Canis lupus familiaris: one gene and its partners. The protein of the gene in region 3 interacts with the protein of the main gene of each other region in a pairwise test. Links are inferred from orthologs where the notes say so. Each region holds a gene or a part of one and is shown on either strand. Other genes may lie near its edges. The genes, in order: SYCE1, METTL17, CBY2, CKS1B, KIFC3, DZIP1L and MMAB.

Region 1 (2,825 bases), on a different chromosome or scaffold from region 3:
GACTCCCAGGACATGGAAAATTCTAACATACTGTGTTGTATAGACAGGTATGTCAGTTATGTATTTTGTGCCCACAAGAGCAGAAACTACACTTGGCTTCCAATTATTTTTTTCTCAGCTAGTCGGTGGGGACTGTGGGTAAGGGACTGGCTGAGATCCCAAGCACCTTGTTCCTCATGTTTGGGATTTCCAGGTTCTGTAGGTTCTGTATAGTTCAGGCCTCAGTAACAAATTCAAATAATCACAGGGTGAGTTTGCAGAACGTGCACCTTTCTGCCTGGAGATCCAAAACAGGGTGTGTAGTCCTAGAAATGAGCAGAGACTATGAGGTTAGGGAAGCACATACTGGGCACCTCCCGTCGAACTCTGGCTGAGGCCAAATGGAGATGTGGCCAAGGTTTTACCCAGCCTCAGGGGTCAAGGGTCTTGGGCTGGACAAGCCCTACCACCCCTGCACAAACTCAGCTGAGACAGTGGTACTGAAATAGTAATTTTATTTCTTGAAGTTCATGGCACTGAATAGGCTCCAGGGTAGGGAGAGTCCTTCTTGCCTAAGAGGGCATAGGGCCTTCCTTGGTGGGCATCTCTGGGTCTTTCTCCTGAATGACTCCTAGGAGCTTAGGATTGGCCTGTGGGAGGTCAGGGTCTGAGAAGCGAAGTCTCTGTGCACCCCTGTGCCCACAGCCTTACTGGGATGTGCCCCTTCCCACCCCACCACTGCCAGCCTCTGTACTCCTGTCTTGGTTATGCCCTATGAGAACACCCTTCCCCAAAGAGCATCTTTGAGGACTCTGTGATTCCCCTTCCTTGCCTTCCTCTACCCAGCTCCTTTTATGAGCTATCTCTGCTCCTTGCCACCCAATTCCAGGTCTCACAGGTTCTCCTGGGCCAGCCCCTTCCTCTTGTTTGCTTTGGGCTTGAACAGGGATCTGCATCCCAAGCTTTTCCAGCTCCTCTTTAAGCCTGGACAGAAAGGGGTGGGGTCAGTATGGGGAGGGGGGAGGAGAAGGGACAAGAGGGTGTAAAGAAATGGGGAGATGAGCTGAAAGGGGAGCAGAGGTGCCCTCACAGCCACCTTCCTCTTGGGGACTGGGGGCAGGGCCTCCATGCCCACCTCTGCCTCTTCTGCTGCAATTGTTGGCACTTCTGCTGCAGCTGCTCATGGTGATGTGTAGCAGCATCCAGGAGCCCCTGGGCCTTCCTGTTCTCCTCTTCAAACAGATGCCTGAGGGTGGGGCCATCAGCACTGGAAACTCCGTCCCTCCACCCCATTCCCTGTCCCTGTCCTCTTTGGTCTTACACTGCAGCTGCAGCCTCCTGGCTGCGGAGAAAGAGCCCCTCAGCAATGGTTGAGCAGCCGTCAGCCCCAAACTGGGAACACAGACGATGCTTCACATCTTCCAGCTTTGCCTCCACAAGCTTCTCTGCAGCAAGAAGGGACAATGGGCAGGGTACGGCAGGGCAGTGCAGGGCAAATCAGGGCTTCCCCCTTCTCGCTCTCACCTTCTTTGAGCAGGTGCTCCTTGCTGCTGTCCAGGGTGTCAATCTCCCGGGCCATCTGCTCTGGCCCCTGAGTAGGTAGAGAGGAGGCCTGTCCATGTGTTCCAGCCTCTTCCCATGCCCTTCAGAGAAGTCTATCTGGATCTGGTCTCTACTCAGCCTGCCTCACTTCCTACTATTCTGGGCCTCTGGGCACACAAGGCATGTTCCAGCTTCAGGGCCTTTGTACTGGCTACTGTCTGCACCTGGAACTGTCTCGCCTGATACCTGTGATGCTGCATTTGAGGCTCATGAGGTGGTTAATGTTCAGGAACTTTGCCAGTTTTGAGATCAGGTCTGAGGCAACTATTTCTTACAGGACATCCCGAAAACATTACAAATCACAACTGTTCCCTGGAGAATCAGTTACCAGCCTGGCACTGCAGCTCCACCTGCCTTTGTGTGGCCTCCTCACTGAGCCCCTCCATCTTAACACTTATTCTCTCTGGACTCCTAGGTGGTCAGGATGGTCTGCCTGGATCCCCACTTGTGTGCCCTGTGTCAGTCATGGCTGCAGACACACCCTCCTATCCGCTCTATGGATTACCTCTCCTTGGTTCATCAGGGTTCCTCCTGGCCCCTGAAGGGATGAATGGGCAGGCCCAGTGAAGAGAAGGACACCGGGTGGCAGTGAGGATGATGACGAGGGATTGAGCTAAGGGCCATTTGGACATATGACCACCCATGCTAGCTCAGGAGCTGGGGGTGGCAGATGAGAGGAAGGAGGCCTGCAGCATGATCATGAGTTTTGGGCCTGGGACTGCCAGGGAAGATGTGAAAGGTGGGAGGAATGGCTTTGGGTGACTCACATGGAACTTCCAGAGGTCCTTGTGCTGGCCCATCAGATCCTCTAGCTGTTCCTCAAAATCCAACCTGCAGACCAACCACACAAGATGAGGAGCCATGTGCTGAGACATTCCTCCCCACCTTGGCCCAAGCCAGGGGTCTTCATGCATAGACCATATGAAAGTTGCCCACGTCCTCTGCTCTGTGGGAAGCACCTTCACCACCTTGAGGCTCCAGGCCTCACCTCAGCCAGCTCTTCTAAGCCCCATCCCTAATATTACCCACCACCACTCTGCCTGGCCTCGGGGACTTTACCTCAGTTGCCTCTGTTTATTCTTCTCTTCCTCAATCTGGGAGTTCAGGGCAGAAATTCGCTCCTTGCACTCCTGCAGCATGGTATGCTTCCTGGGAAGAGGCAAGGCAGCTCTCACAGTCTCTGAATACCTCCCCAGGAGAGGGCTGGGGTGGGGCTTCTGCTTCCTCTTGGGGTCTGTTCTGGC
Region 2 (4,002 bases), on a different chromosome or scaffold from region 3:
GGACTCCTTAAAAAAAAAAGGGCAGACTCAAAAAACGATCTGTAGGCAAAAAAAAACAAACAAAAAACCAAACAAACAAAAAAAAAACCATCTGGTGATATGCCCTGGACTAAATTCCGTTTCTTTTTTATCTTCCTAAACATGGGTCTTTTGCTCATCAGAAGTTCCTTTAAGTTCTGGCCCTAATCCACATACCCTCTTACGTCTTACCCGATCCGAGGGACTAAACATTCTAGTTCCCTACTCTCTCCTATTCTCCCCGTCTGGTCTCCCAGTGTCTTGGGGTGTCGTACAAGGCTCTCTAGAGCTAGAAATGACAGACTGAAAGAGACTTACCAAGTGACAGAGCCGGTACCCGAGCCAAAGTCCATTAGGGTTTGGGGCTGGAACTTGGGAACTCGAGTCCGGATCTGCAGAAACACACAATACCCCACAGCAGAGTTAGCGGATGCCTCTCTACGGCCCCTCTGCATCAGGGGAGCACGGCAGGCCAGATGAGATGTGAATGTTCCTGGAGAGTCAATGGAAACACTTAATACAATGGGAACCTCCTGAAACAGTGATTTTTAGACCTTTCTTGGGTCACAAAATCCTTTCAGAGGATAAACAGAGCTGCTTTAAAAAATAAATAAAAAAAAAAAAAAAAAAAAAAAGTGCATGCGTTGTCCCTAGAATCATACCCCAGGAGACCACTTTATGCATAAAGGAAGCGATGGTTAAGGGTTGGAAGCTGAGGGGCTTTCACCTCATGGAACGCCCTGGAGACCGCTGCAAAGCCGCCATCCAGTCTTGCCGCCATATATACCAGGCTCAGTCTCTCATTGTAGCTGCCAGAAAAACCAGAGAGTCACAGCCACCAGGGAATAACGCCCATCCCACAGGCATGAAATCTCTAGAGAGGGGAGAACTCTTACTCCCGGGGCTGAGTACTCTCACTCCTTGGAAGGTAGGGGTCCTGAGCTACACACCGGGCAGGCCTCCCAGACGTGGACTGTGTCTCTGTGCTACCCCAGTCTCCAGCTAAAGACAAGATTTCTTTCCCCTTCTGTAGCCTTTCTAGTCCACCTTACGTCAGTTCTTGCCAATGGTAGGTAGTTCTGCGCAGGGTTTGCAGCACGGCTTGGCGAAGCCTCTCCTCTGCCGGGGGGACGTCTAGGGTGAGAACAAGAATCCACGGTGGGGACCGGGGACGCACAGGGCTCAGATCCAACAGCTGAAGATCGGCCTGCCCACGTCCTCTGCAGCTCCCATCCTGGGCAAAACCTCAAAGCTCACGAGAAGCCCAACCTAGGGGGGAAAAAAATCTCAGGTAGGAGTCACCGCGAGCACCATCACCGCCACGGCGAATCAGATGGTAGCCTGCGTCTAACGGCAGCTCGTTCATCAATACCAACCCCACCCCACAGGTTTTGTGCTCTTTTATTTTTTATAGATTTTATTTATTTATTCATGACAGAGAGAGAGAGGCAGAGACACAGGCAGAGGGAGATGCAGGCTCCATGCAGGGAGCCTGACGCTGGACTCGATCCCAGAACTCCAGGATCACGCCCTGGACCAAAGACAGGTGCTAAACTGCTGGGCCACCCGGGGATCCCCGACTTTGCGCTATTTTAAAGGGAAGTGTTGGGGATCCCCGGGTGGCCCAGCAGTTTAGCACCTGTCTTTGGTCCAGGGCGTGATCCTGGAGTCCCGGGATCGAGTCCTGCATCCAGCTCCCTGCGTGGAGCCTGCTTCTCCCTCTGCCTGTGTCTCTCATGAATAAATAAATAAAATCTTTAAAAAAATAAAGGGAAGCATCTCGAAGATTGAAGAGCATCGCGTAAGCACGGTATTCTGTGGATTTTCTCCGGGCTGTGGCGTCTCCGACGTTCCGAGAGGGAAGAAAGCGGGGCCTGGAAGTCTTGGGGCTCAGGATGGCGTGGGTCTGCGGGCCGTGTCCCCCCAGCGCCTACGCTGCACCGGGTGAGGGGAGAGCGGGGAGCACGGGATGCATAAAGGCAGGTGTGTGAGATGGAGAAGCTTCACGGTCGTGAGAGCGGCTCGCTGAGCCCTGCCTGGCCTCCGGGCCCGCTAGGGAGCCGCGTTCCCGGAACACAAACGTAGGCCGTCCCGACCCGGGGCGCCCGGGAGAGGCAAGGGCAGCGGAGGACCCCGTTCGGCGGGACGCGGGCCCTCCGTGCGGCCGACTCTCCTGCAGGCCCCACCTGCGTCCTCCAGCAGCCGCTCCTCCAGGCGCCGCGCGCGCCTCTGCAGCTCCTCCGGCTCGACGGGCACACGGCGGCTCCACAGGTAGTTGCGCAGCGCCGGCACCTGCGCCTCCACGCCCGGCAGCGAGCTCTCTGCGGGTCGGGGATGCAGCGCCGTCAGCCGCGTGCCGCCGGCCCCCGCCCCCCGCTCCGCCTCGGGGCTCGCTCCGCCCCGCCCCGCCACTCACCGAGCAGCAGGGCCCGCGCCGCGGCGGCCAGCACGGGCGGCACCCGCACGCACGGCAGCTGCAGGACGCCGGGGTGCCGGCGGTGTGGCCTCCGCCCCAGGAAGCCGGAGCTGTTGTCCACCTGCGACGCGCCCGGCGCGACCCCCGCGAGCGCCTGCGGGCGGGACGGAGACGCTGACCGCGGCCGGGAGCGCCCACCCGCGGCAGCGCCGCCGTTCCTGAGCCCCGGGGTCCCTCCGGCGCGGGGAGCGGGCACTCACTCGGGACCCGGGGGCTCCGGGGGCTCCTCCGCGCCCGCGGCTACACCGGCTCAGCGTCAGCAGCGGCCGCAGTCCCCGCGCGGTCGCCATGGTGCCGGAGGCGAGCCGGAAGCGGAAATGACGAGACCTGTGACCGCGGAGCAGCGTCAGCCAATGAGAAGAGCGAGTGCTTCTGGTGGCCAATAAACGGTCGGTATCACCTCGGAGGGGATCTGCGCTCGGGTGGGGGCGGGGCCGGGCGGGCAGAGGGCGGGACCGGAGGCGGGGCCAGGATAGAGGGCGGGGCCGGGCGAGCAGAGGGCGGGGTCGGAGGCGGGGCCGGGGGCGGGGTCCGGCCCCGCTGCCCCGAGAGCAGGTGGGAGCGGGGCTGGAGGGCAGGGGGCGGGGCCGGAAGCGGGGCCAGGGTAGAAGGCGGGGCCGGGCGGGCAGAGGGCGGGGCCGTAGGCGGGGCCAGGATGGAGGGCGGGGCCGAGGTAGGAGGCGGGGCCGGGCCGGCAGTGGGCGGGTCCGGAGGCGGGGCCAGGATAGAGGGAGGTGCCGGGGTCGGAGTCCGGCCCCGCTGCCCCGAGAGCAGCTGGAAGCGGGGTGGGCGCGGGGCTGGCGGGCAGAGGGCGGGGCCGGAGGCGGGACCAGGGTAGAAGGCGGGGCCGGGCAGGCAGTGGGCGGGGCCGGAGGCGGGACCAGGGTAGAAGGTGGGGCCGGGCCGGCAGTGGGCGGGGCCAGGGTAGAAGGCGGGGCCGGAGGCGGGGCCAGGATAGAGGGCGGGTCCGGGGGCGGGGTCGGGCGCCCCGCTGCCCCGAGAGCAGCTGGAACCCGGGTGGGCGCGGGGCCCCGAGGCTCGCGTCCCGAAGTCCGGGGGTCGGATGGGCGGGCGGGGACCAGCCCCTTCCTGGGCGCCCCGGAGCCGCGCCGGACACAGGGAAACACTGCACCTGTGTTCCTAGCCTTTCTCTCTGGAAGACTCCGAAGTCTTGGGGTCCCCCTCCTGTGTGCGAACGGCGAATGCAGCTAGGGAAAGATAAGAAAAAGCAAATGGAGGCCCCCCCCCAGGATAACAAAATGATAGTCCATAGATTTTTTCTTTTTTTTTTCTTTTCCCCATGTTATTCCACATAGTACGCTGTGCGCTTGGACGAGTAGGTAACGCGCAGAAGGTTAGGTGCCCGATGCTGCGGGAAGCCCATCCACGCAGCGAGGCGTCCGGGAGACGGAGAAAGGGAGTAAATGGTTGGAGGTCACGCCCAGGATCGCAGAGCTTGTTAGATGACAATTAGATTTAAACCTGGGCAGGTTAGGGATGCCTGGGTG
Region 3 (4,157 bases):
AGGATCATGCCCTGAGCCGAAGACAGATGCTCAACTGCTGAGCCACCCAGGCGTCCCCATTTCATGGTCCTTTGTTTGGGCACCCCCACGAAATGAGCACGGCTGGTTCCCTCTTTGTTTAGATTTCCTAGATCAGCGCCCAAGGGCGATGTACAGGTGCTTCTATGAGGTGCATCTATAAGGGAAAGCTGAACTGAGTTTTCCAGTGGTGTGAGAGTTAATCACTAGAAACCCTTGGAGAAACAGAAAACAGGCTTTGACAGGGATGTGGAAAAACTGGAACCTTTGTGAGCTGTTGATGGGAATGTAAAAGGATGGCACAGCAGCTACGGGAAAACAGTATGGAAATTCTTCAAAAAATTAAAAATAAAACTGTATATAATCCAGCAATCCCACTTCTGGGTATATATCCAAAAGAATTTAAAGCAGGATTTTATTATTCACAAGGAGTGCCCCCGAACACACCTGACTTTATGCTAATGAAGTGACCCTTGGTGGCCCCTAGATGGCTTCAGGATGGGCACTAGTTGCTAGAAGAATCAACTATGTGATTAGAGGTTGGGAACTTTCAAGTATTTCACCTCTCCACTTCTGGGAAATGGGGGATGGGGGGTGGGTTGGGCTGGAAATCTTTAATCACCAATGGCCAGTGATTTAATCAACCTCGACCAGGTAATGAAACCTCCATAAAAACCCTTAATAGGGTTAGGAGAGCTTCTGGGTTGGTGAACACATGGAGAAGCTGGGAGGATGGTATGACCTGTGAGGGTGTGGAAGCTCCATGTCCTTCTCCCCCTATACCTTGACTTAAGCATCTTCTATTTGGCTGTTTCTGAGCTGCATCTTTTATAACAAAAGTAATTGTAAGTAAGGTGTTTTCCTGAGTTCTGTTAGCTATCCTAGCAAATTACAGAGGTGCGGAGGGGTTTGTAGGACCCCCGCCAATTCATAGCTGGTCATTCAGAAATACTCGTGGCCTGAGAGTTGTGACTGGTGTCTAAAGTCTGGTGTAGGCAGTCTTGTGGGACTGAGGCCTTTAACTTAGGTGACCTGACACCCACTCCAAGTAGATTGTCTAAGAATTGAATTGAATTATAGGACATACAGTTGGCCTCAGAGAATTGGAGAATTGGTTGGTGTCAGAAAATATCTCAGACTCCGTGGCTTCTCTTGGTCTGAAATGAGTTCAGTTTGGATTTCTCCAAGTAGAAGATGCTAGCTCTAGAGAGAAGGTAGGGCTTACAGCCCAGCCAGGCAGTGGCGATATGAATAGTAGCAAAGATGACCAAATAGGGGGCTAATGTTTGGGTTATTGTGTGTCACACTGACCCTGACCAGCCAGGTAGACATAACCAGGGTGACTCTTCCTGTCAGGTGCCTCATTCCCACCTGTGATGCTCAGAGAGACCATGAGCCCTGAAAAACACCGTATTTTTTTGTGATGTCACCTCTGGAATGTTCTGAGTGTTTTGGTGACCAACTCCTACATAGGACCTATACCTGGCACCTAACATTGGTATGGCTTTTTACTTGAGATAGAAGTAATAACCTTAGAAAAGGTATTAGGTATGGGTATCTCTGCTCCAAAGACTTTTTGGAAGGTTTTTAACACCAACTATAAAATCTGTCTTAATTTCTGTCTAGAGATTGATAAGCATCTTTTCAGATACTATCTTCACATTGTTTCAGACTCAGATTTTCATAATGTACATAGTTGACAAGAGGGGATAAGTGAATAGAAAGTCATCTGTTTTTCAGATTGAGCAATTGAAGCTCAGAGGATGGGCTGGGAAGCAGATATCGTTTTATTTTCTCTTTTCCCACAGCACTCGAGGCCAAGTATTGCAAGAAAAAGAGATACCAGATCTGAAAGCCTAGAAATTCCAATCAATGTGGTTCTGCCTCAGGTAGGGATAATCACAGAAGGGTGCAACTTCCTTGTAACCGGAATAACCCTCCTCTTTCAAGACTGTAGCAAGATATTGTAGAATGAACAGGGTAGTCGGGACCTCTAGTTGCCAACTAGCTGTGTGCCAAGGGGAATTCACTTAGCTACTCTGGGTCTTCAGTTTGTCATCCCTCAAATGAGGAAGGTGGGTTCGGTGACCTGGTAAGACCTCTCAGCCCTCATAATGCTTACAGTTTCTATGACACTCTGAAGTAAGCCACATTCTTCCCAGACTTCAATGTTTTGGTGCTTGCTATTGTACAACCATTCCGGATTTCTGGGAGAGAATTAGAACTGAGACTTGGAACCAAATGCATATGACTGAATCCATGAGTAGAAAGCCCAGGACGTGGACCAAGAGGTACAGGGTGATTTGGAGGTGCCAAGGGAATTGAGGCCTGCTGGATACAAAGACAGAGTGGAAGGGGAACTCAGAAAGGAGGCCCGTAAACGGATGAAGTCTTGACAGTCTGGAGAGTCTCAGGTGTTGTCCTGCTAAGCAGCCGTTTCCTTGGTGGGGTTCTCCTGACTGGATTGTTTCTCCTGCTGCTATGTCACAAAGGGGCAGCCTTGCTTCTCTAGAGTCACCTAAGGCACTGTTGGAAGATCATGGCTGTGCAACCAGAGGGGCTGAAATGTAGGCTGGAGGAATCCAATGCAGAGGTAACTACCTGAAAGCGAGGTACAGGGTGTGTAGGAACAGGATCGAGTACCAGTGGGCATCCTATATATATACTTATTTATTTATAGTAACATATATTTAATATATAATTACATATATAATATATAACTACATAATTATATCTAGTACACATAACAAAATGATATATACATGTTTTCTAAAGCCGTATCTTAAGGATTTTGTGAAGAACAAGATGACAAAGAAGAACTCTGTCATTCTTTCAATAGGTGGAGATAATTGTAACAGTCTGGGCAAGTATATTCAGTAGGAGGGAAAGACAGGACAAAAGAACATTCTGGCTCTTTGTTTTCCCCTTATCCTTATAACTTTGTAGTGAGCAGCCACTTCATCAGTTTCAGCTCATGAAGCCTAGACTATAAGCTACTTTGTCCTGATCATTAGACAGGATGGCTTGCCCACAGGGTTCCTACAGCTCAAGGAACCTTGCTTTAGGTCTGATTCTTTCCACTGAAATGCCATGTAGTTCTGCTGGCCACTACTCCCCTGAGGGTGGGTGTTGTGCCTTTGGTTTGTTCACAGCCTCACTAAGGGACAGGAAGAGGGTGCCAACCTGAGGGTGAGGTTGGGGATAGGGGCAGGAATAGGATTTTTTTTTTAAGATTTTATTTATTCGTGAGAGAGAGAGAGAGAGAGGCAGAGATACAGACAATGGGAGAAGCAGGCTCCCCACAAGGAGCCTGATGTGGGTGGGACTCAGGGGCCCCCCGGGATCATGACCTGAGCCAAAGGCAGATTCTCAACCACTGAACCATCCAGGTGCCCCAGGAATAGGATTTGAAATAGTGGTCATGTGATAAAGAGATTGGAAAAAGTCTTCTGTCTATACCTAGTACAACTCTCCCCGCGTAGGTCCCAGAGATAGGCCAGCCTGAAGGAGGAGAGAAGGTGAACAGAACCTGGGGGGTGGTTTAAGAAGGCTCAAGCTTGTTCTGGGGCCATTCACTTCCTGCACTGCAGGACTTGGTGCTGCTGTTGTGGTTTTGGAGGGCACGGAGGGCACGGAATGTATACCCCTCATGGGTACACCTGCCAGGGAGACCCAAGTCATACACCAAGTTTCAGACACCTGCCAGGATGCTCTAGGCTGAAACTGTGAGGGAGGGGTGTGGGTGTCTATAAATTTAGATTATCTGGACTGTGCCACCACCAGGACTGTGAAGGGACCAGTGTACTCGTTAGACCTCCCCAAATGAAATTGTGCATGACTCAGGGGAAATTGACCTGGTTAACAAGGGGAGGAAAAATAGTGACTGAGCACTGGTTTGGTCATGTGGCAGGCACTGGGCAATGCTAGTGTGAGGTAGGGATTGTATAGGCATGGGAAACTTGAGCCCCAGCAGCCTCTCCAGTAATGGCAGAGCTAGATAGGGGGTTGAAAGCAGGCCAGTGTCCACTCTCTCCGCTACACCACAAGCTAGGCCTATGCCACCTGGTGGGGCCAGGTCACATCTTAGCTCTCTCTGTTCTCTTGCCTTTAGGAAATAGCGCCTCCTCTGTGGGCACCTT
Region 4 (4,222 bases), on a different chromosome or scaffold from region 3:
GACCAGGAGGAATGCCCAGACAAGAGCTCTGCTTGGGGGGGAGGGGAAGAGCCCAAGAAGCGGCGGGGGCTGGGGAGTCCCTTCCAAAAAACTAAACAAACAAAAAAACTCAAACAGCAAAAAGGCCACTGTCCCCTCCACCCACGCCAGGCCACCGTTTCCAGGCAGCAGGACACTCTAGCTCCTGGTGCACCCGCAGGTTGCACGCCAACCTCACGGCCCTACCAGCTCCCGAGGTGCGGGTGCTAGCCCTACAGCTGTCTCTGGGGCGGAGTCTGTCCTGGGCTGGGAACCCAGGAGCAAGTCTCTCGGCCCCTTTGGCGCCAAACCCCAAGTCCAGGCCCCTCTCCGCGGGGCAGGGGGAGGGGCAAGGGAGGCGGAGGGCGGCCCCTGACCTCGCCCGGCTCGCCCCACCTGCTGGAGCAGAAGCACTGGCTCCGCAGAGCTGAGCCCCAAGCCCAAGGAGAAGAGAAGCTGTGTCAGCAAGGGGCTTCGGGACTACCACAGCGCTCCGAGGGGCGGAGCCCGCCCCACTCTGGACGCTGCCCAGGGGGAATGGGCCCCACATCACGGGTACCGGGCACTGTAAGAGGCGAGGCTACAGCACCGCCCGACGCCATCAGGCGGGGGGCGGGGCCTCTCGGAAGGCGTAGCCTCTGGGGCGGGGCTGCCGGCACTCGGCCGGGCCTCGGAGGGGCGGGGCTCTGGCCTCCTGGGGGACCCGTCGCCAGAAGGCGAAGAATCGGAACTCAGAGAACTACCGTCAGGTTTCTCACAGTCGGACTTGGAAGCATGTTCGGGGGTGGGACTTCCAGGAAAGCTGGGCAGCAGGGTGGGGTCGTGGACAATACACAGAAAACAAGTCGGGGTTCGGGGAGCCCCCTGAAGATGGGGGTGGGACTTCCGGGGAGGGGGGTCTCAGGGGGCGGGACTTGCACATGAAGACCGGAAGTAGGGTCCCGGGAGAGGGGTTCCGGGGTGGAGGAATGGGTCACCTTAGGAGAGGGAGAAGACCTAACTCACCAGGGCCTCATGGAGTCTCCGCACCGCACCGCGGCTCGATTTGGTTCCGGATCACGCCACTGCCTCCTTAGGTCGCCGTTCCAACTTTCTCCCCGGCCTGGCCTCCCTGAAGAAACTTTATTGCACTCACTTCCGGCCTCACTAACCCCTGACCCTCTACCTCAGCGTCCCTCCTTCAGCCGTCCCACTTTGCCGAATCAGCCAATGGCAATGCGAGAACGCGCACGGGGGCAGGAATAGCCAATTAGAGGCATATTTTTTCCCTACGCTCATTCTTGACTAACGTAAGCAGCGCGGTCCAATAAGGACTCGAACAGAAGCAAATCTAAACCAATCGGCGGCTTGAAGGTGGAGTAGTCCCGCCTTAAACCATGGGGTCCAATAGGAAGCGCGGGCGGCGTGTTTGAAAGCTAGGCCAAAGTGGGTGGGAGCGCGTGCTGCTGGGAGTTGTTTGGAGGTTGCCGGAGTGGGCCTGACGGTCCTCAGGCTGAGTGATCATGTCGCACAAACAGATTTACTATTCGGACAAATACGACGACGAGGAGTTCGAGTACCGGTTAGTGCCGCCGCGGGGGCCATAACGAGGTCGTGAACTTTGACAAGTGAGGGCAAGAGGAGTTAGTCACCGGGGCTGAAGCAACAGGACCGGCGCATGCGCGGGGGACTCCCGGGGCGCGGGCGCGGAGCGTAGCAGGGCGCCTGCGCGAGGGCCTGGCGGCGAGAGGGCGCGGACAGCTGCGGACCGCAGTGTGTCCCGCGCCGGGGAGCGGGCGGAGGGGGCGTGCCTAGAGCTCGAGGCCTCCGCACCCCGCACCATGCGGGGTTCTGGATCGTTCTGGGAGCTTCCCCGGGCACGTGGAGGTTGCCCGCTGGGGCGTGCTGGAAAGAAGTGGCCGCAGCGGTGCTGAACGATCCGGGAAAGGGGGCGCGGGCGTGCGGCTCGTGGGAAGGTCTGACCCGGCGACGCAGCGCCGCAGGCTCGGGAGTTGCGCCCGGGCACGGTGTGACGGAGGCAGCGCCGCCCCTCCAGGAGGAGTACCAGGGAAGAGCGAGGATGCTGCCCGCGTGCCGTTTTGGCTTCTTCCTGGAAGAACGTGGGATGGAGACTTGGCAGGCTTGCGTTTCCTTCCCGGCCAAGTGCGGGGCTCCGGGGACTCGGCGTGTGCTGACCCTTGGGGGACCCAGGCCACTTAGGTTTCTTTCCGCCGCTGACTGTGCGCTGCCACCTCTGCAGAGCTAGTTTCAGCTCCCCGAAGTTGTAAGTCCGGGCGCTGGCGTTGGGGGGCGTCGGTCGGGTCCGATTAGGGATCGAAGACGCTGTTTGTGAAAGAATTTGCTACTAGTACACACCTACTGTGTTTTCCCTGAGCATGATGGGGTCTATCTGGAGTAGCCCAACTCAGGTGAGAGTAAGGATTTTTTTTTTGCCATGAAAGGAGATTTATCCTTGGTTAGGAAAACCTGGGGTTTCCCAAGAGGAGTCTCATGGCAACTCTTTTCAGAGTTGGGAAAATGAAATGGAGGGTACATTTCAGAGGAGAAGATATTCACATTTCATCCTTGTGATGGCTCTTCCTCACAGCGCTCCACAAGAGGCCTTTCTTCTCCACAAAACCAGCCGTTTTCAAAACTACCTTTAATAATTAACGCTGTGAGTGTCGTGGGGCTGCCCTTAGATCGTTCTAATCAGCTAGCAGACTGAGCTGGAGGAAGGCAGGGGCGCGGTGTCCACAGCGCCTGTTCACTTGAGTTACTCACGCGTGCTTTTTAACATACTTGGGGGGACGATTTGCATAATCTGGCCTTTATTTCTAGCTGCCTCTGCCCCATGATAAGAGTACATAAACTCTCCCATTGGGAACCAATTTTTTCTTTTCTTTGCTCTCTTGGCTTTGTACACAAGCATTTGTCTAACACAACTGCACCCAGTACTGATGTGATCCCTCCGTGTTTCTGTTACAGGCATGTCATGTTGCCCAAGGACATAGCCAAGCTGGTCCCTAAAACCCATCTGATGTCTGAATCTGAATGGAGGAATCTTGGAGTTCAGCAGAGTCAGGGATGGGTCCATTATATGATCCATGAACCAGGTCGGTGCGATGGCTGAAAACAACCATTTAGGGCTCCTTGGCTGAGGAAAAGAGGAATGATAAGATGGTATAACCCAAAGAAATAGAGGTGAGGGTGGTCTATTGGTTCCTCACCAGCCACCTAGAAAAATCAGAGTGATGGGATCCCTGGGTGGTGCAGCAGTTTAGCGCCTGCCTTTGGCCCAGGGCGCGATCCTGGAGACTCAGGATCGAATCCCACGTCGGGCTCCCGGTGCATGGAGCCTGCTTCTCCCTCTGCCTATGTCTCTGCCTCTCTCTCTCTTTCTGTGTGACTATCATAAATAAATTTTAAAAAAAATTTTTTTTAAAAATCAGAGTGACAAAAAAGAGTCAAGTACTGGGAAGTTCAGAAGACAACCTGTCCCTGAAAAAACTCTTTCAATCTCTAATTCAGTCTGAGCATCACACACACACACCCGTCACCCTTTTTAAGGCCACAAACACCCTGGTAGAGGTTATGGATCCTGCATCATTCTCCATGAGAAAGCAAATTCTCAGATGTGTCCCAAATAAGCCAAGGGAAGTATATTTCTTGATAAGACACCAGACCCACAAGCAGCCAGGCAAATCTAATAAAGGAGGTGGGCAGGGGATGGGGGGGCTGTACAAACACAGCAAAGGAACTGATGCTAATAGTTCTCTGCTTAGCAGACAGGCCCAGCTTTAGGGTCTGCTTCTGAGGCCATATGCTTACATCTTAATGTAGTTCTAAAGGTCTGAAATGGGAAGGGGACGCACTACACACTGCAGAGACCAGGGTGAGCGTGTCTCTTCAATGTCACTCTTTCAGAACCTCACATCTTGTTGTTCCGACGGCCACTGCCCAAGAAGCCGAAGAAATGAAGCTGGCAGCCACTTTCCAGCCTCAAGCTTTACACAGCTGTCGTCGCTTGCTAACATCTTCCTGATAACATCATTATGTTGCCTTCTTGTTTTCTCACTTTGATATTTAAAGGATGTTCAGTACACTGTTTGTGCTGCTGACTGTTTTGCTTGAGCAGAGCCAACAGCACCATGGCCCGGCCAGTTGAGTGCTCTTTGGGCTGCAGCCTCAGCTGAGCTGTGTACCCAGCAGAGCACACTTGGTA
Region 5 (3,476 bases), on a different chromosome or scaffold from region 3:
CCTCCAGGAGGCCTCCTGGGACAGGGCTGGAAGGGCAGTGGCCCTCCTCCCAGGAGGATCCCCCAGCGCTGACCCCTTCTGCTCCTGTGGCAGCCCTAGTTGGAGAGAGGGCCCCACTGAGCCCCTGTGCACATTCCCTGCTGAGGCCGAGGCCAGACCAGGTGGAGGCCAGCACAACCCCCATGGGGTTGGGGAGGGCAGTCTTGTAGCACCGGGAAGAGGGTGGTACCCACCCCTAGCCAGTTCCCTTAAGGGGCCAGCCCAGCCCTGCTGGCTATGGTGCTCAAGCCTCTGAAGAGCCCAAGTTTCCCACGTACAGACAGGATAGCGTGTTGCTGGGTGGGTCCATGTGATGGGCGTGGCCAGGGGCACTAGATCCTCTCAGTCGTGGCCTTCACGAGATCTCAAGAGGGCTGTGGGTGACCAGCCAGCAGCAGGGAGCTGTCCCTGGGCTTGTCCCTGTGATCTGACCAGGAGCTCAAGAGACCCAACTCTCAGACTATCGTTGTGTAAAAAGGTTTTTATTTTAATAAGTAAAAATGGCTAAGCTTCCAAAAGTTCTTAAATAGGATTTCAGAGGAGGAAAATGTCAAGAGGCCAGTGAGCAAGGCGAGAGCCTGGTGCCAGGCAGATGAGGGGAGCAGCAGGATCCCCACCCACTGGCCTCCCACCAGCCATAAATACAGCCCAGCCCTCGGCAGGGAGGGCCACGCTCCTATGTACACCTAGTCACACTATACACGTACCCACTCGGGGCCTGCCTCGGAGGGGAAGGGGGCCAGGGCTGCCCCAGCGTGCCCACCGACTGCCCAGATTCACGGCTCCTGGGCCTGCTGGGGGCTCTTCAGCCCACCCGTTACAGACAGGCCCTGCAGGCTGGAGCGAGTTGGCCCAGGCCAGAGGCCCAGCCTCCCACACTCCTGCCCTCCCCACGAGGATCTGCTGACGGCCCGGGCCTGCCAGGCAGAGTGGGCCATCTCTGCCCTTCCAGCCCGGGCCTTTTGCACCCACACCCACTGCCGAGAGACACCATTTCCTTTGGAACATGTTTTCTCATTTCTGAGTGGATACGAGGCAGAAGAGATGCCTCCACTCTGGCCTTCGCCTCCTGGGCTCTTGGTGCTACAGCAGGTGGATCCAGTCCCCGGTTTGGCAGGGTGGATGCGTCCGTCACACAGGCACCGGCCTGGACTTCCCTGCGGGAGCGGGAAAAGGCTTCGTCAGCCTCTGTGCACGCGATCGGGAGGGAGCCAGGGAGAAGCACAGACAGCAGGCAGCAGCAGGACAGGCCCGCCCTGAGCAGCCCTCTCCCCGGCACAGCCCTGCAACCCAAGGCAGGCGGGCAGGCGGGCCCGGGCCCCTGGCCCCACACTCACCTGGAGACTCTGCAGCCCCAGCCGTCAGGCTGAAATCAAAGCAACAGGTGTCTCACTGGTGGGCTTGCCTGGGGCTGGGACTCCCCGGGACCCTGTGGCCCCTACCTCCTTGGACTCCAGCCCTTGCCAGGCCCCTCTGTGAGTGTGGGGCCACTCAGAGGGCTGGGGTTCTGGATGCCAGGCCTGTGGCTGGGCTCACTCCTCACCTGGGACATGGGTGGGCCCTGCCCTTCACCCTCCCTCCCCAGGAATCCAGGCCCAGGGCAGGGGTGTCTTGAGGCCAGCCTCAGAGAATTGCCTCCTGGGCCTCAAATCAGCAGCCCTGCTAGGAGCCCCGAGGTCTGGGTTCCCCTTATGCTACCGCCTCTCCAAAGGGCCTTTGACTATCCATCTGTAAAATGGGCCTAGCAGTGTCCTGTCCTGACTACTTCCTGACTGACTACTTCCCAGGGCCAGAAAAGTTTGTATAATAGGTTCTGGAGGACTTCTATAAACTTCAAAACAAAACAAAAAAAAGGAAAAGTCCATTCAGGCAAGGGCAGTCTGGTGGCTATCCACCTGTAAGGAGGCTCACCCCCACCCCCAACCCCACAGTGGCCCCTTCCCCAAGGGCTTACCCAAGGGCTGCAGCTTCCTCCGGATAGAGCCTGGGCGGCTGTTGGTCCCAGAGCCAGGGGCTGAGTGTGCCCGTGCTGAGGGCTGTGGGGTCTGGCAAGCTGGCTCCCACTGTGGGCAGGGGTGAGCAGGTGGGCAGGGGCCATGCTGCCCTGGCTCCCCCCTTCACCGTGCTCCACCCCTGCGTTCCCCTCCCCAACCTCCTGCAAAATGGGTATGATGAGGTGAGCCCCACCTTGTTACTGAAGGAATTAGCTGAGATAATGGATGTTAAAGGGCCCTGAGCTACTACTGAGCACCTGCGTGCCAGCCTGCAACCCGCCCGCCCCCCAGCCAGCTGAGGACCACCACAGGGCGCTCTGAGGCTAAGAAGTGTTTAGATGAGAGAAGCCCCTGGCAGGGGCACCTGGTGGCTCAGCCAGTTAAGCATCTGCCTGCTAAGCATCTGCCTGCGGTTTGTTTGTAACATTTTATTTACTTATTCATGAGAGACAGAGAGAGAGGCAGAGACACAGGCAGAGGGAGAAGCGGGCTCCGTGCAGGGAGCCTGACGCGGGACTTGATCCCAGGACTCCAGGGTCACGCCCGGGGCTGAAGGCAGGTGTTTAACCACTGAGACACCAGGGATCCCTGCCTTCAGTTTAGGTCATAATCCTGGGGTCCTGGGACCAAGCCCCGAGTCAGGCTCCCCACTCAGGGCTAGTCTGCTGCTCCCTTTCCCCCACTCCCTGCCACCTCCTCGCTCCTGTGCCCACACTCTCTCCCCCACCCCTCCTTAAATAAACAAATATCTAAAATAGTGAGGCTCTTGGGTTCAAGTTCTGGCGCCAGCCCCTTCTGGCATCCTCCCTTCCCCACCACCCCAGTCTGTCCCCCATCCCAGGCCCTCCTTCCTGCCCACGACAGTCCCTATACCTCCAGATGCTCCTGGCTAGACCAGGACCCGAGCTCTGCCCTGCGGGACCCAGGGCCCAGCTCCACAGAGCGCACCCTCTCAGCGAACTTCAGGGAGTACAGAGTCTCACTGGTGTTCTTCTCCACAGGGGACACCTATGGGACACAAGAGCTCACACCCCGGCCAGCAGGCCTCCTCCCCCACCCCCAGAATTGGGAGGGGCAGCATGCTCACTGACTTTGGAGCTGCTGAGGGAGGACAAGGGTCCCTTCCCCACACAGCCTGGGGAGCCTGGGCCGCAGAGGAAGGGGGTCTCCGGTCGTGCTGCTGGCCGAGCCCTCCCAGCCTGCAGCTCACCAGAGGTCCTCACCTGCACCACCATGAGGGTCTTGCTGTCCCCACTGAGCGAGTCCTGCAGCAGGTAGGTAAGCTTGGAGTTGCGGAAGGGCACATGGCCCTGGCGGGAGCGCAGGGCCGCAATGACGTCCCCCAGAGCCGACAGCGACTTGTTGATGTGCTGTGCCTCCCGCAGGCGGCTGCCCTCAGCCCCCGACTTGCCCACGCGCTCCGAGCCCGCCAGGTCCACCAGG
Region 6 (4,266 bases), on a different chromosome or scaffold from region 3:
AAGTCAACCAAACAACTGATCTTTTTAAATTCTGATTTTTAAATATAAATGGACAGCTAGAGTATACCACCGCTGCTCCCACCTTACCGTACCTTCTGCTTCCTCAAAAATGCAGCCAAGAGGAGCTGTTAGGGGAGCCAAGCTACCAAGGCAGCTGCCAGGCAATCATTGACAAGCCTGCCCTGGCTCCCAGAGCCACCCCAGTAGTACCTGCCCTGAGGAGCCCAGGCTTGTCATTAATGTTAATTGTTGTGGTTGCCAAGGAAACTCCCACACAGTTTGCAAATAGGTTATATACAAGCCTTAGGCAAGGGAGCCCTACAAATCCCAAAGGAGAGTGACTCGGAAGTTCTCCTGGAACACTATCGTTACAGATTTTAGGCTTTATTCCCTAATTCTGTTGTTTTCTAAAAAAAAAAAAAAAAAAAAAAAAAAGTGTGCCATTTCCACTCCTTGCCCTCCACAGGGGCTGCACCTGCTCCCAGAACTATCAAGGTTCTGGCTTCCATTCCCAGTAACTTTAAGGAGGTATTTTTATTTTTTTTTTATTTATTTTTTTTTTTTTAGTATAGCTGACACACAATGTTACACATTAGTTTCAGGTGTGATTCGACAAGTTTAGACTTTAGGCTATGTTCACCGGGAGTGTAGCCACCATCTGTCCCGCTACATCACTACCACAATATCGCTAACCATATTCTTTACGCTCTGCTTTTTATCCCCGTGACATCCACTCCGTAACGGAAGACCTGTATCTCCTTCTAAGAAGATCTTTTTAAAAGACAACACCAACGGTTTTGTCAAAAACCTCTCTTAACTTTTTGCCACAAGAGAATCTTCTTTAAAAGAAAAATCAGGGCTAGGGCTTTGGCTGGCATCGCTCAGGAATATTATAGAGGGGAAGACTACAAACTGACATGACCTGTCTTCTCAGGTGCAGAATTGTCAAAAATCAGCCCTGCTTTTCACATCTAAAGGAACGGAGTTTAGAATATACTGGTGCTTTCTTTCCCTTGGAACAGTCATTGTTTCTTGGTAGACTTTCTCCAGCTTCAGCCATCAGACCCCCACAAGATCCTCCCTGGAGGTGCGCAGCCTAGCAACAGCTGGCACTGCAGGTAATTAACCCACCTAACCAGGACCCGCCCTCTCTGAAAAGGGCGCACAAGGTGGTTCAGAAGAGCCCACCATGTTGCCCCCATCCCTGCTCCTGTCAGAACAAGAGCCACAAGCCTTTGACCAAACTCCAGCTTTGTGGCAGAACCCAGTTATATTCCACAAAGGAATTCAGGTTTCTGTTCCCAACCTGAAGCATATGACTCCATGGGACCATTTTATCAAGTCGGATGGTATCCAAAACTATTTCCACATGAGGAAGATGTCTCTTGGTGCTGACAGAGCCAGAAAAAAGATGGCTTTTCAACCACTTGACTGGAGGGCCAGCTTTCTCTAAGAGGGATTGTTCTCACTGGTCAATCCTCAGCTCCAGGAGGCCAGGAGAAAGTGATGAGGGACCTCCCTGACACAGGAGTGGACCACCCACCCTGGCTGCAGATGAAAGAGAGGCCATAGTCAGAGAACCTCACACTCACCAGGCCTCTCTTCGAAGTTCTTTTACAAATCAAATTCCCAGAGACAATGCCCCCCCCCCCAGGTGCAGGGGAGGGAGGGGACGTCCTGGGCCCTAAGGAGTGCTGGGTGAAGGGGAGCCCCGGCCCAAGCCCTCCAGACCCCCTTCTAGACCCTCCTCCCGTACAAAGCAAGTCTCCCTGGACTTTTACCTGCGGCCACCTCAAAAGGAAAATACCGTCGCTGCCTCCTCCTAAACCCTAGCCCCAGAATGCAAGAGGAACAAACCAGAGATGCCAATTTTTGGTTTTTAAATCATCTCATTATCAAAAGATCCCCCTTTACCTGCAGAACTCAAAGCATCAAGCCCTCCAAATCATTTCACTTTTTTCAAAAAGTAAGCATCCGAGTCTGTCCACCCAGGGAAACAGTCCGGGGGGGTGGGGGGGGGTGGGTGGGTGGGTGGCGAGGTGCAGTCACTCCTGCTTCCCTCCGGGAGTACCTCGGTCTGGAGTGAGCTGTGAGAGTGGAGGTGGGGGCGGAGCCGGCTAAGGGGCGTGGCCGGGGGCGGGACAATGGGCGGGACAATGGGCGGGACAATGGGCGGCCAGTGCGTGGCAGGGGCGTGGCCAGGGGCGTGGCCAGGGAGGCCCGGGGCGGGGCAAGGGGCGGAGCCGGGCGCCGCTAGCCGCGGTAAGCAGTCCGCGCAGGAGTGCAGCTCCCGCGGCTCCCGGGTTGGACCCCTACCCCGCGCCCCAGCCGCTAATGTTTAACCGCCCTCGGCCTGCTGCACCCACCGCACGGTGGCACCGCGAGGGCGCTCCCCACCCACCCGCGCCCCTCCCGGGGCCAAATTCCTGCCATAGCTTTCCCACGCGGTCCTGCTCACCTGGGGGCCTCCGGAGCCGGCAGAGGTCCAGAGGTGCGGGCTCCCCAGCTTGGCCCCGGCCCCGCCTCCCGGCTAGACCTCCCGGAGGCGGCTCCCCGAACCCCGGCGCGGGCCGGGGGTGCACCCCAGCGGCGGGGAGCCGGGACGCCCTCCCCGTTGCCGCCCACCCCGCGGACCCGAGGGCAGCAGCGCCTTCCGCGCCCGCAGCTCGAGGCCCAGGGTCTCCGACGCCGCGGGCTCCCGGGACGGCGCCCCACGCCACCCAGACGGGGGTGGAGCCTCTCCCCAGCGCCCCCGGGACAAGCTATTTTTAAGTCGGCTACCGAGGGGGGCGGGGGAATGCCTTGTTGAGTCCGGGATCCTCGAGAGTGGCTCGCTGGCCTCGCTGAGGGCGCGGGCGCGGGAAGCCCGGGGATGGAGGTGCTGCAGTCCCCACACACGCAACAAAGGGCGGCCCGCGGGTGAGCCGGGCCCTCGCCGAGCTCGTCCCGAGGGGCAGCGCCGCGACCCGGCCTTCCAGCCCGCCCCGTGCGCCCGCGCCGCGACTCGGGAGCGGAGAACTCCTCCTCCCCGGATGCTGGTCCCCGATTCCCAGCTACTCACAGCTTTACCGAGCCCCAGACTGCTGGGATTTTTTTTTTTTTTTTTTTTTTTTTTTTAAGGCCTTCTTCCCACTCCAGTCTCAGTCTGCCAAACTCTGTGTCTTGGGGCAGCCCAAGCAAGAGTGTATGGAAACAAGTGTTGGCAAGCATGTGGAGGAACGCCTGGGTGGCTCCGCGGTTTGCGCCTGCCTTCGGCCCAGGGCGTGATCCTGGAGACCAGGGGATCGAGTCCCGCGTCGGGCTCCCTGTGTGGAGCCTGCTTCTCCCTCCCCCTCCCTCTCTCTCCCTCTCTCTGTGTCTCTGTATCTCTCATAAATAAATAAATAAATAAATAAATAAATAAATAAATAAATAAATAAATAAATAGGGGATCCCTGGGTGGCGCAGCGGTTTAGCGCCTGCCTTTGGCCCAGGGCGCGATCCTGGAGACCTGGGATCGAATCCCACATCAGGCTCCCGGTGCATGGAGCCTGCTTCTTCCTCTGCCTATGTCTCTGCCTCTCTCTCTCTCTCTGTGTGTGACTATCATAAATAAATAAAAATTTTAAAAAATAATCTAAAAAAATAAAATAAAAATAAAAATAAATAAATAAAACCTTAAAAAAAAGAAAAGAGAGAAAATGGAACGCCAGGTGGGAATATAAATTGTACAGCTGCTGTGACAGAAATAAAATTGCCGTAGGATCCAGCAATTCCATTTCTGGGTATTTACTCAAAAGAATGGAAACGGGGACTAAAACGTATTTGTAGACGCATGCTCCTAACAGTATTGTTCACAATTGCCAAAAGGTGTAAACGACCCTAGTGGCCATCAAGGTATAAATGGATAAACAAAGTGTGCTACATACATACAATGAACTATTACTCAGTCTTAAAGCATAACGAAATACTGATACATGCCACAATATGAACCTTAGAAATATTATGCCAGGTGAGAGAAGTCAGATACAAAAAGGAGAAATGTTATGATTCCACTTATATAAGGTAACTGGAATAGTTAAATTCATAGAGATATTCCAGGTGGAATAGTGGTTACCAAGGGCTGGGGTGAGGTGGAGGGAGTGTAGGGAATAGGAAATTATTGTTTAATGGGTACAAAGTTTTAGTCTGGGACAATGGCAAAGTTCTAGAGATGAATAGTGGTGTTGGCTGTGCAACAATGTGAATGTACTTAATGCGACTGAATTGTACATTTGAAAATTGTTA
Region 7 (4,171 bases), on a different chromosome or scaffold from region 3:
ACCACCTGTAGGAGCCCCTCTGAGGTCTGTCTGCCCCCCAACCGCAGCCCCCTTGGACTGTGCACTCTGCGAAGCCTGTGGGCTGAGGTGCTCTGCTTAGTGGTGCCTGGCACATGGAGATGTTCGCTCACTATCTGACAAAGAGTCCACAGCTTGGTGTCCCCGATCTCCTGCCCACAAAGATGGGGGGGGGTAGCTTGCCGATGGGCTAATTCTAAACAGCTGATGCTAGAATGCACCTTCATTTCCCCCTGCCCACTTTACCTTGTTCTGCCCCCGACCCCTACCTTCACACACACACCCACAAGTCGGCCTTCTCTACTCTGCTGCCAGGACCTCTGCACCTGTCATTCATTATCTGCCCTGAGTATCTCACCTAGTCAGATGCAGCATTGAGAAGCCGCGGCCATGCACGTGCACCTGAAGGGTGGGGGAGCCAGGGATGGAGGGGTGAGGCAGCTTCGCGTGGCGTGGGACAGATGCCAGGCAGGAGCAGGCGGTGCTGGGAGGCAAAGGTGCCTGCAGCCCGGGAGCCTTGTGGCACTGACCCCATGTGCCTGTGCTGCCATGCTGAGGCACGCTCATCGAGGGTTGGCAGCCCCCCGGGGACCAGCCAGCACTCTCAAGAGCTCCACGTGAATTACACTGATGCCAATTCAAACCCAACCTCGAGGCCAATGCTGTCTGCCTTACCCAATAGCTGAACTTAATTCATCTGTAGTTCCCACGGCTTCAAACACTTGGTCATCTTTAGGTCTCCTTTCTCCAGTGAAAGTGTTAGAAAACCCTGTGAAAAAATGTTTAGCCACCCAAATTAAGATTTTTTGGTGGTCCTGATATGCTCTTTTTAAAAAACTTTCCACCTGACATATAACAGGAAAGTGCTCAAACCATAAACATACAAGTTGGGGGCGCTTGGTGGCTCAGTCAGTCACTTAAGTGTCTGCCTTCGGCTCAGGTCATGATGTCCAGGGATTGAGCCCTGCGTGGGGCTCCCTGCTCAGCAGGGAGCCTGCTTCTCCCTCTCCCTCTCTCCCTCCTCATGCTCTTTCTCTCTCTCTCAAATAAATAAATAAAATCTTAAAAAAAAATAAATGTACAAGTTGATGAATTGCTACTACCTGAACACATCTCTGTGACCAGCACCCAGATCAAGAAATAGAATATGCTCAGCACCCCTGAAGCCCCCATACAACCCCCTTCAGTTGCAATCCTAAGGGTAACCACTATCCTCACTTCTCTCCCGGTATCTTTGGCATCTTTTAAATATCACACCCCACTTGATGATATTTAGTGAGATCCATTACATAATTTTTAATGATTGTGAATGATTTCGCAGAACTTTAAAATAGCGTTAAAAAGGTGGTTAACCTTTTTTTTTGCATGTTTCACCTGCCCCCCTACCTTTGTCTCCTGTTTTGGTGTATATCTTGGGGATCCTGGGTGTCTTTGAGGAAGACTGTGGCCTGATGAGAAACAGACATCAAGATGTGGTGAGTGGGGATGGCTTGCCCAGGGCGACACCTCCCTCAGTGGGTCACAGCTTGCTGCTTATGGCCTGAGGCGGCACTTACCCCTCCTCTGCTTGGATCTCTGTTGACATCATTCCCCTCCTTTCTTCCTAGTTAAGTCCTTTGTGGACAAGCTCTGTGTCTTGCCCGTATATGTATCTGCAGAGTAGCTCATGCTTAATAAACATGGAAAGAGTTTATTGACCCCTTTCCATAACCTCTGCACTGTTCTAACTGGATTGCTGGCATTCATCTCCTGGAATCATCTCTGGAATCTTCCCACAGCCCCAGAAGGTGGGAACTACCTACGACGTTCATTTTACTGTTGAGAAAACTGGAGCTCATGGGATGACTTGCCTTCCCAGGTCACCCAGGAAGGAAACCATAAGGTTGGGATTCATGCCCAAGACTACCTTACTTCACCCAAACTCTCTTACTTCCACGCTGACTTGTACCAGCCCAAACTCTTGGCCTCTAGTCCGCCACGCCAGGGCTTCTTGCAGAGAAGGCAATCTGGGCCACTTCCATCCTATGAAGCTCCAAGTAGACCCAGGAATGAAGAACTGCCACAACAGGGTCGGGTTCCGGCATTTTCAAGTAGCAAGGGAACACCTTGAATACGGGCTTCAACACTAAAACGTGGCATCACAAGCTCATTGGAAACGTCCTGTCACTGGATCTATGACGTACACTGACCCAGTTACTCATTCATGCTACTCTGCAGGTCCTGAGGCCCAGGAATGGGGGTGCAAGCTTCAAGGTCTACGATGACGGCCTCTCCGGATCGTGTTGGCGCGCCTCTGAGTCTTGAGGTATGAGGTGCCTCGGAGGCAGGTCAAACTCTGAATGGAGACCCCACCTGAGCGTGAGGCCGGGCAAGGAGGCCTAACTGGCCCCCGTGGATGTGCCTGCCCTGCCTGATGATGAGGGCCGAGGTTCCTTCTCATTTGTACAAAGAAACCCTCGGTGTCTGGCCTCCACGGCGCCCACGTGGCCGCGGTGACGTCACGACCAAGAGCGGCTCTCACAGCGGTGTGACGTCACCACGGCGACGACACCGCAATCCACGGCAGGTGTCCAGGTACCCTCCCAGCCAGGCACTCACCCGTCCCCGTCTTCCACGCCCTGGGAGCGGCGGCTCTGGAAACGGGGACACAGTAGCCCACGGGCGCCGACGCCCCCGCGCAGGCCCACGCGGCCTCCCAGGCCCCACACAGCCATGCGCGCGGCTGCTCGTCGGGGGCTGACCCAGCCAGGCTCCCGTTCCGGGCACCGCGGGCGACTCCACCTACCGCTGGCCGCGCCACCGTTCCGCAGCCGTTTTCTATTGGCTCGCGGCTCTCGACCCGGGGCGGGACAAGCCCAGGGGCTTGCTTCCCATTGGCTTGCGGCAGGGGCGGGGAACCCCGTGACAGCTTGGTCGAGCAATCTATTGGCCAATGGCCAAGCCAATTGCTTAACGGCTCGAGCGCTCTGATTGGCGGAGGGATAGGACGATTTCCCCGGACGGGGGCGGTGCTCGGGGACTAAATCCAGAGCCGCCCGGGCTTGGGGTCCCAGGACCACCTGAGGCCAGGTGAGGACGTGGGCTCGCGCGGCCGGCGGCGCGAGGTTGGAGGCTGAGCCCCAGCGCGACCTCGGGCCGCGCTTCTGGCTCCTCTGGCTCAGTTTCCCCGACTCTGGGAGTCCGTCCCGAGCGCCGGGCGAGCTCGAGTCTGAAGTGATCCGGAGCTTTGGGCAAGCAAGTGGATGGATTTCCTGGCGCCTTGCCTCAGTTTCCCCCGCTAAGAAACGGGGGAATCACGATAGTACTCGGCTCACAGTGCGGCTCGGGCCTTACCGTGTTAAGGTAGTGCACGTGAGGCCTTGAACGGATGGTAATTCTGCCTGATGTGTAAAAATCTACAACACTTGTAGACCGAGCGAGTCACTTTCTGGGACTCTGTGATGCAGAGATGCTGGCGTGGGCGCGCAGGAGGGGGCTCGACAGCTGTTTGTGCAGCCCATGGTAAAGCATCGTGAGGCATGGGAAACGGCCTAAGAGTCCAGGGAGGCGTTCCTTCTGGCTCCTGATTTCACTTAACTTTCCACCTTCGGCAGTAGCGATGATAAAAGCTGGAACCAAGAACAGAGCCAGCAATAAATAGCTATCCGTAGTGGAATGATCATATGCCAGAGCTGCCAGGTGTTCCGCTTGCTTTGTTTCATGTAACCTTTCCAAACCCCATCGAGGTAAGTACAGTTCTACTTCTCCTGTAACCTGAGGAAATCAAGTTGCCTAGCGTTTGAGTGAGTTCGTGAAGAAGACCTCACTGGGGAGTGGAAGAGCTGGGGTTTGAACCTGAGTCTTCCTGATGTGTTTAATGTGCTGCTGCACTGCACAGTCTTTGGGGCGCATGGCATGTGCTGAATGGTAGCTGCCTTTTTTGTTAGATGAGAAGTTTGAACGGGCATCTCTAATATCTCTAAGATCTGGGTCCTTTCATCCCCTCTCTGGCTCTGTGTTTCAGGGTTCTCCGGAGCCATGCTGTCAGAAGTCCTGCTGGTGTCCGCCCCAGGGAAAGTCATCCTTCATGGAGAGCATGCTGTGGTCCATGGCAAGGTAAAGCCCCCCCCCCCCCCCCAGAGCCTCTGAGAACTGGGCACCCTTTCTCTCTGAC

What was found.
Region 1: the proteins of CBY2 (region 3) and SYCE1 interact in binary tests that used the Homo sapiens proteins (3 or more experiments, as listed by UniProt). The two-hybrid records come from large-scale screens. The link is inferred for Canis lupus familiaris from reciprocal best matches to the Homo sapiens genes CBY2 and SYCE1.
Region 2: the proteins of CBY2 (region 3) and METTL17 interact in binary tests that used the Homo sapiens proteins (3 or more experiments, as listed by UniProt). The link is inferred for Canis lupus familiaris from reciprocal best matches to the Homo sapiens genes CBY2 and METTL17.
Region 4: the proteins of CBY2 (region 3) and CKS1B interact in binary tests that used the Homo sapiens proteins (3 or more experiments, as listed by UniProt). The two-hybrid records come from large-scale screens. The link is inferred for Canis lupus familiaris from reciprocal best matches to the Homo sapiens genes CBY2 and CKS1B.
Region 5: the proteins of CBY2 (region 3) and KIFC3 interact in binary tests that used the Homo sapiens proteins (3 or more experiments, as listed by UniProt). The two-hybrid records come from large-scale screens. The link is inferred for Canis lupus familiaris from reciprocal best matches to the Homo sapiens genes CBY2 and KIFC3.
Region 6: the proteins of CBY2 (region 3) and DZIP1L interact in binary tests that used the Homo sapiens proteins (3 or more experiments, as listed by UniProt). The two-hybrid records come from large-scale screens. The link is inferred for Canis lupus familiaris from reciprocal best matches to the Homo sapiens genes CBY2 and DZIP1L.
Region 7: the proteins of CBY2 (region 3) and MMAB interact in binary tests that used the Homo sapiens proteins (3 or more experiments, as listed by UniProt). The two-hybrid records come from large-scale screens. The link is inferred for Canis lupus familiaris from reciprocal best matches to the Homo sapiens genes CBY2 and MMAB.

Annotation. Positions count from the first base shown.
Region 1 is NC_049249.1:41,697,255-41,700,079, forward strand, and holds the end of SYCE1 (synaptonemal complex central element protein 1), read right to left. Parts: intron 2,731-2,825; coding exon 2,641-2,730; intron 2,413-2,640; coding exon 2,349-2,412; intron 1,571-2,348; coding exon 1,504-1,570; intron 1,425-1,503; coding exon 1,301-1,424; intron 1,226-1,300; coding exon 1,115-1,225; intron 964-1,114; coding exon 812-963; intron 630-811; coding exon 619-629; coding exon of another isoform or gene 552-618; 3' UTR 501-551; downstream 1-500. UniProt on the Homo sapiens protein: Major component of the transverse central element of synaptonemal complexes (SCS), formed between homologous chromosomes during meiotic prophase. Requires SYCP1 in order to be incorporated into the central element.
Region 2 is NC_049236.1:18,218,181-18,222,182, reverse strand, and holds the start of METTL17 (methyltransferase-like protein 17, mitochondrial), read right to left. Parts: upstream 2,801-4,002; 5' UTR 2,785-2,800; coding exon 2,695-2,784; exon of another isoform or gene 2,664-2,694; intron 2,589-2,663; coding exon 2,435-2,588; intron 2,340-2,434; coding exon 2,205-2,339; intron 1,153-2,204; coding exon 1,071-1,152; intron 828-1,070; coding exon 746-827; intron 411-745; coding exon 337-410; intron 1-336. UniProt on the Homo sapiens protein: Mitochondrial ribosome (mitoribosome) assembly factor. Binds at the interface of the head and body domains of the mitochondrial small ribosomal subunit (mt-SSU), occluding the mRNA channel and preventing compaction of the head domain towards the body.
Region 3 is NC_049243.1:5,417,093-5,421,249, reverse strand, and holds the start of CBY2 (protein chibby homolog 2), read left to right. Parts: upstream 1-1,357; 5' UTR 1,358-1,441; coding exon 1,442-1,516; intron 1,517-1,826; coding exon 1,827-1,907; intron 1,908-2,510; exon of another isoform or gene 2,511-2,557; coding exon of another isoform or gene 2,558-2,611; intron 2,612-4,157.
Region 4 is NC_049228.1:42,484,136-42,488,357, reverse strand, and holds the start of CKS1B (cyclin-dependent kinases regulatory subunit 1), read left to right. Parts: upstream 1-1,422; 5' UTR 1,423-1,520; coding exon 1,521-1,579; intron 1,580-2,985; coding exon 2,986-3,113; intron 3,114-3,924; coding exon 3,925-3,977; 3' UTR 3,978-4,222.
Region 5 is NC_049223.1:58,001,920-58,005,395, reverse strand, and holds the end of KIFC3 (kinesin-like protein KIFC3), read right to left. Parts: coding exon 3,257-3,476; intron 3,042-3,256; coding exon 2,907-3,041; intron 2,103-2,906; coding exon 1,994-2,102; intron 1,406-1,993; coding exon of another isoform or gene 1,401-1,405; exon of another isoform or gene 1,377-1,400; intron 1,197-1,376; coding exon 1,171-1,196; 3' UTR 501-1,170; downstream 1-500. UniProt on the Homo sapiens protein: Minus-end microtubule-dependent motor protein. Involved in apically targeted transport. Required for zonula adherens maintenance.
Region 6 is NC_049244.1:34,870,189-34,874,454, forward strand, and holds the start of DZIP1L (zinc finger protein DZIP1L), read right to left. Parts: upstream 2,801-4,266; 5' UTR 2,782-2,800; intron 2,476-2,781; exon of another isoform or gene 2,459-2,475; intron 2,017-2,458; exon of another isoform or gene 1,915-2,016; intron 174-1,914; exon of another isoform or gene 93-173; intron 1-92. UniProt on the Homo sapiens protein: Involved in primary cilium formation. Probably acts as a transition zone protein required for localization of PKD1/PC1 and PKD2/PC2 to the ciliary membrane.
Region 7 is NC_049247.1:17,868,490-17,872,660, reverse strand, and holds the start of MMAB (corrinoid adenosyltransferase), read right to left. Parts: upstream 2,801-4,171; 5' UTR 2,733-2,800; coding exon 2,617-2,732; intron 1,467-2,616; coding exon 1,405-1,466; intron 788-1,404; coding exon 694-787; intron 1-693. Other genes in the region: MVK (mevalonate kinase), read left to right, coding at 4,036-4,113. UniProt on the Homo sapiens protein: Converts cob(I)alamin to adenosylcobalamin (adenosylcob(III)alamin), a coenzyme for methylmalonyl-CoA mutase, therefore participates in the final step of the vitamin B12 conversion.